Linked DNA regions of Mus musculus: region 1 is reported to be linked to region 2. Evidence: microRNA targets listed by miRTarBase, many of them from high-throughput screens and not tested one by one. Region 2 holds a microRNA gene; the other region holds the end of a gene's coding sequence.

Region 1 (3,406 bases), not on the chromosome of region 2:
AGATGCTGGGAACTCAGGTCCTTGGGAAGAACAGTAGGTGCTCTTAACCACTGAGACATCTCTCTAGTCCTTTTAAATGATGTCTGTAATTCTAGCTCCAGGGGATCTGACACCCTCACTCAGATATGCATGCAGGCAACACACCAATGTTCATAAAAATGATTTTTAAAAGTCCAGAATTTTTATTTATTCACACTGCACTTCAAAAACGTAGATATAAATAATAATCTACATTTAAAGTTTACCATAGCACTCGGGAGGCAGAGGCAGGTGGATTTCTGAGTTCGAGGCCAGCCTGGTCTACAAAGTGAGTTCCAGGACAGCCAGGGCTATACAGAGAAACCCTGTCTCAAAAACAAAAACAAAAACAAAAAAAACCCCAAAACAAACAAAGTTTACCATAATCTAACTATTCTAGAGGACATATTTCAATGGCTACACATAGCTTTGAAATTTTCCCTTTAAAATGACAAATAACAAAAATTAAACAAATAGACTGAGGTCACTAAAACTAATTTCATCAGCTCAAATTTGTAAACCATCCACAAAATTAACTATAGGAATGGACTGTACTCCTTTAAGCCTAGAGGCAGACAGGTAGATCTCTTTTGTTTGACAAGAGATCTACATAGTGAATTCCAGGCCAGCCAGGGCTAAATAGAAAGATGTATACACACACAGAGTCTTAGTTTGGGTTTTATTGCTATAAAGAGACAACATGACCATAGCAACTTTTTTAAAGGAAAAAAAAAATTAATTTGGGGCTGCCAAAGGTCCATTATCATCATGGTGGAAAGCATGGCGGCATGCAGACAGACATGGTACTAGAGGAGCTGAGAGTTCTATAGTTTGATCCACAGACAGCAGGAGATTGTATGTCACACTGGGCATGACTTGAGCATTGGAGACCTAAAAATCTGCCCCCACAGTGACACATTACCTCCTACAAAGGCCACACTATTCCAACGTTACACCTAATAGTGCCACTCCCCAAAGGCCAAGCATTCAAATATATGAGTCTGTGTAGGCCAAATCTATTCAAAACACCACCACCACCACACACACACACACACACACACACACACACACACACACACACACACACACACACACACACGTTCAAACCCCAGGGAATCTGTTCTGGAACACGTAATCATAACACCCATCAGTCACACAGCATAAGAACCTGGAGTTCTCCATGCTAATGAAGTAGCTACACAGGCCCTGAGTGTTCAGCCAATGAGCTTCCCCTTCCTGGGCATTTCTTCCTGCAAAAGGTATTTAATCCCTGGTTCACCTTGAGTAAGGTGTATGCATTCACATCCACCATCAAAGAAAGGACCATCTATTTCTTCATCAAGGATTCCAGGGTGGGGAGGGGCTTCAGACCTAAATCTCTCAGAGAAGGCCTTCTCTTCCAGCCTCTCCCATACATACTCTTGGCCCTGACTTGGAGCCAAACCTGGCTCTGCCTCTCTCTAGGGCTTAGCTGTCCCCAGGCACAAAGACTTGGAGGGGAGGCACAGACCTTCAACCCCTATTACAGACTGTGTGCTGCCTCCAACAATGGCTTGCAGGAGGTGCTCTGGGCAACCCAGCAGCAAGGAGGACACACAGACCAGGAGTCAGCAAACCAAACCAACTCAACTAACTAAACAGTGATATGTTAATTGCTTTCAAAGCTACATTTGTTTATTTTTAATTTTATTTCGTATTTGTTTGAGTGTTCTGCCTACAAGTATGTATGTATACTATATACATGCTTAGTGTCCGTGGAGGGCTGAGGAGGGGGGGGGTCAGATCCCCTGGAACTGGAGTTACTTGGTGCTGATAACTGATCCAGGTCTTCTAAAAGAGCAACAAGTGCTCTTAACTCCTGCGTCCTCTCTCTAGGCCCCCAAAGCTACATTTAAGAATATGGAGGGACAGAGACATGACTCAGAAATTACTTAAGATCCCATATCTGGCAGCCAACCACATATAACTCCAGTTCTAGGGGACATGATGCCCTCTTCCATGCTTTGAAGGCCTCCACACAGTTGGCAAACACACAGATACATATACACACACTTCAAACATATTATAGTGTTTTATTTCTATTATTTTTTAGGCAATTGACAAAGAAATTTTCCACTCTGGGTGGTAAATCCAGATAGGTAACATAAGGTCAGCTTTCCACATTACTCAAAATAAAAACACATTAAAATATAATTATAGAACAGTGCTTCAGAAAATCTTTTCAGGAGCTAGGGAAACAGCTCCATGGGTAAAGTGCCTGACATGCAGGCATGAGGACGGCATATAATAAAAGCTGGTGCAGTGCAGCACATGTGTGCATCTTGGTGCTGCTGGGGTAGATAGGTGGCCCTGAAGCAGTGAGCTCCACGTTCAGGGAGAGATTTTTTTCTTAAAATTTAAGGAGGGCCTAGAAAGATGTTCAGTGGGTAAAAGCCCTTGCTCTGCAAGCCTGACGACCTGAGTTCAATTCTCAGAGCCCACAGTGTGCTACACACCTGCATCCCAGGGTTCCTAGTGAGACAGGAGGCCAAAACAGAAGTAGTTAAAGTGTGCAGACCTGGAGAATGAAGAGACAAAACAGAAGACCCTGCCTCAGAGACAGGGTGGAGGAGCTGGAGAGATGGATGGCTCAGCAGTTGGGAACATTTTTGGTTCTTGCAGGACTAGGTTCTGGTTCTCAGCACCTTCATGGTGGTTCAGTTACTTCTAACTCCAGTTCCACGAGATCCACCACCCTCCGCTTGCTTTTGTAGGCACCCGCACACACACAGTGCACACACACACACACAGTGCACACACACACACAGTGCACACACACACACACACACACTACACTCTGACTAGCACATCATCAGTTAACTGGATACACTGGCATCAGCATTTGGTCAGCATTCTTCCTCTGGTTCTCGTGACCGTTTCCGGAAATTCAAAGAACTCTCTGTCTGTGATGAGGCAGCAGTGACAACAGCGTCTCTAAATCCCTGAGGCTGCAAGGTAGAGAAATACACACATAAAATATATATATACACACACACATAAAAGACAATTTAAAAAGATTAATTTTCCAAATAGTCTTTAAATAAGCTATGTTATTCTTGGGAGAGAATTTATTAATCATTGAATAAAGAGGATAAACTTTGCAGGTGGTCTAACCCAGAGTTTTATTAGAGCATTTTATATATGCTCTTCTATACACACATTAAAAAAAAATAACACTGCATAAGGATGCTTTCTAAGACCTGACCTGTACGTAGATGAGTGGTGATGTCCAAGTTAACAACAAAAAAGCTCTCTAGAAAGAATCCTAAAAAGCTGTATGGCGCCTTGGCTAGGAGAAGTGGAAAGTAGTGTGTATAGCCACGTAGGCACTTCACAAATCACTTTATAG
Region 2 (3,406 bases):
ATTGCTTGAGCCAGACGATGGTGGCCCATGCCTTTAATCCCAGCACTCGGGAGACAGAGGCATAGACAGGTGGATTTCTGAGTTCGAGGCCAGCCTGGTCTACAGAGTGAGTTCCAGGACAGCCAGGGCTACACAGAGAAACCCTGTCTCGGGGAAAAAAAAAAAAAAAGAAAAGTTATTGCTTGGAGCTGGAGCGATGGCTTAGCGGCTAAGAGCACTGACTGCTCTTCCAGAGGTCCTGAGTTCAGTACCCAGCAACCACATGGTGGCTCATAACCATTTGTAATGGGCATCTGATGTTGTCTTCTGGGAAGATAGCAACAGTATACTCACATACATGAAATAAATAAGTAAATCTTAAAAAAAAAAAAAAAAGAGGCTGGTCCTCAAAAAAAAAACCAAAAAGAGTTACTGTTTTATGAGGGTTACTTGGCTTGGGTTCTTAGTAGTTTGATCATTTGGAAAGTATGATTAAAAGCAGTGCTTGGGTAGACACTCAGAGCCTTCCTACCTAAAATCACAGTTTGGCAGCTGGGCAGTGGTGTCGCACGCCTTTGATCCCAGTGCTCAGGAGGCAAAGGCAGGCAGACCTCTGATTTCCAAGGTCTATAGAGTGAGTTCCAGAAGAGCCAGAGAAACACTGTTTGGAAAAACAAACAAAAAAATCACAGTTTAACTGTGAGCCAGAGATGTATCTCATGGAAGTATAGATGCTTACCAAACAGCCTTCATTTCAGTCTGTAGAATGTAGAGCAGAGGGTATTCTAGAGGTTTTCCTTCACTGGTTAGCAAAACTGGACACTGACTTAAGCTCTGACCGCAATCTTTCACTGGGGTACCGTGGCTCGTGGTCAGGGCTATCCCAACAGAAATGTGGTTACACTTTACTGAACAGGAATAAAGCTCCGAGAAGCCAACCAGCAGCAACAATTTAATCGAAATGTTGAAGACATTGAATTGTGGCTGTATGAAGTAGAAGGTCATTTGGCTTCAGATGATTATGGTAAAGACCTCACTAATGTCCAGAACCTCCAGAAGAAGCATGCTCTGCTAGAGGCGGATGTTGCTGCTCACCAGGTAGTGCTGTGTGGGAATGGGGACCTAGAGAGGGGCAGGGCAGTGCTGTGTGGGAATGGGGGCCTAGGGAGGGGCAGGGCAGTGCTGTGTGGGAATGGGGGCCTAGAGAGGGGCCAGGGCAGTGCTGTGTGGGAAGTGGGGACCTAGGGAGGGGCAGGGCAGTGCTGTGTGGGAGAAATATGCATGTTGAACTTTCCAAGGGGATACTATTGGGGGAAGATGAACTATGAGGCTCTCTTACAGAGCGCTGTGCTCAGTGTTTTTTCTCAGAGCTCTCTGGGAGCCTAAAGTGAGGGGGCCCTAGCAGGACAAATATTCTGAGAGTAGGACTCCCACTGTTACATTTTCTTTGTGTTTGAGGAATCCTCATCCCCAAGTAACAGGCTGGAGAGGTGCAGAACAGAGTCTCTGGAGTCTCTCAAACCTTACCCTCCTGTTTCCAGGATCGAATTGATGGCATCACAATTCAGGCCCGCCAGTTCCAAGATGCTGGCCATTTTGATGCCGAAAATATTAAGAAGAAGCAAGAGGCCCTTGTGGCTCGCTATGAGGCTCTTAAGGAACCCATGGTGGCCCGGAAACAGAAGCTGGCAGATTCTCTTCGTCTGCAGCAGCTCTTCCGGGATGTGGAGGACGAAGAAACCTGGATTCGAGAAAAGGAGCCTATTGCTGCATCCACTAACAGAGGTTAGTGTATCTGCCCCAAGCAGATCCATGCCATTACCACATCCTATACATAAAGGAGATGTATCTGAGGAAGTGAAGTGGAAGTTTAGATCCCTATACTGTGGCAGTGGTGGGAGCCCATTACTGACAGTTCAATGGGAGAATGGATTCTGCTTTTAGGCAAAGATCTTATTGGAGTCCAGAATCTGCTAAAGAAACACCAAGCTTTGCAAGCAGAGATTGCTGGGCATGAACCTCGAATCAAAGCAGTGACACAAAAGGGAAATGCCATGGTGGAGGAAGGTGAGTGTGGTCAGTGACTGGACCTGCTTTTACTCTTTATGTCTTTACTCTGTCCCCTGTTGGCATAGAGTGCATGGACCTGAGCCCCGTTAATGAGGCCAGGGCTGAGTCTCCTTCTTGTGCTGTCATATGACTCTGGCCTGGCCTCACCTGAGTGTCACTGTCACTGTTCTCCACATCATCCTTCCAGGCCATTTTGCTGCAGAGGATGTGAAGGCCAAACTGAGTGAGCTCAACCAGAAGTGGGAGGCTCTGAAAGCCAAAGCCTCCCAGCGGAGGCAGGATCTAGAGGACTCGCTGCAGGCCCAGCAGTACTTTGCCGATGCCAATGAGGCTGAGTCCTGGATGCGGGAGAAGGAGCCCATTGTGGGCAGTACGGACTATGGGAAGGATGAAGACTCTGCTGAGGTAGCTCAAACCTGGGCATCACATGGACTTGGGAATTGGCCCCAGCCTCAGAGTAGGAAGCAAGGTAGTGGAGAAGGTATTGCAGAAAGGATAAAGTATACTGCAGCTGCTTTGTAAAGTGTCAGCAATCTTACTTTTTATTTTGGAAGTTCAGAATCAAGAAGAGCCTGTCACCTACTTTCAACTGTTAACATTTGCTGTTGTCTCATTATTCTTAGTCACATGCATGCAGACATGTGACTCATATCTGGTTCATGTAGTCGTCAGACCTACTTCTTAACAATCTTGTCAAAACCAGAATGAGAGCTAGGGTCTCTGCTCAGTGGTAAAGCACTAGTTGCTTGTATACAGTTGTGGATTCCATTCCCAGTACCAAAAACCTCCCTAGGTGAGTTGAGCCTTCACATGAACAGGATTTTCCCCAAGAATGGGAGAACCAAAAACACTGGAGGTCCTGTTAGTAAGCAGTGACAAAGTAGCCCTATAAAAAGGCATTCTCAAGTACACTGAGTCTGCTCTGTGTGTGTCTATGTTATTCAGATACATTGTAATTAGGTAAAAATGGTAAAGAGGAGATTGTAACTAGGCAGTATTTCTTCTCTGAAATTAGAAAGCAGGAAGAATTGGGATGGTAAGATGGCTAAGTGGGCAAGGGCACTTGGGCCAAGCCTCTTGACCTCAGTTTAATACCCAGACCCATATGTCTGCAAATTGTCCTCTGACCTCCATGCTTTTCCATGGTGTATGCACACACACAAAGAAGTAACTGTAGGCCAACATGCATGGAGAAAACTTGACAAGGTCCTTACCCCTCTAGATAAAATGCTGTAAGTGATCAGTAGCTGCGGAGAGAAGGAGATCCGCTTCCACCACAGCTACAGGACGTTCCCATGGAGGGCAGTCAGTCCTGGACACAAATACTATGGACAATAATAAACATACTCAGTAGAGT

What was found. Region 2 holds the annotated microRNA mmu-miR-6997-3p (UCAAACCUUACCCUCCUGUUUCC, at 1,496-1,518, shown strand). A microRNA usually pairs through its seed, bases 2 to 8, with sites in the 3' UTR of a target mRNA and lowers its output. Matches are read on the target gene's strand: a 7mer-m8 pairs with bases 2 to 8, a 7mer-A1 pairs with bases 2 to 7 and ends in A, and an 8mer does both.
Region 1: the mRNA of Rad51c is a reported target of mmu-miR-6997-3p. Seed matches in the 3' UTR shown: 7mer-m8 at 1,458-1,464 and 7mer-A1 at 1,120-1,126.

Annotation. Positions count from the first base shown.
Region 1 is chr11:87,376,483-87,379,888 of GRCm38, forward strand. Rad51c (RAD51 paralog C) reads right to left here. Exons shown (of 9, transcript NM_053269.4): 9 at 163-3,005. The coding sequence ends at 2,904. Among named protein-coding and RNA genes, the nearest start is that of Ppm1e, 19 kb to the left of the region's middle.
Region 2 is chr2:29,994,501-29,997,906 of GRCm38, forward strand. Mir6997 (microRNA 6997) reads left to right here and starts at 1,450; the gene lies at 1,450-1,520. Sptan1 (spectrin alpha, non-erythrocytic 1) reads left to right here. Exons shown (of 57, transcript NM_001177667.1): 16 at 896-1,077; 17 at 1,521-1,764; 18 at 1,924-2,046; 19 at 2,237-2,454.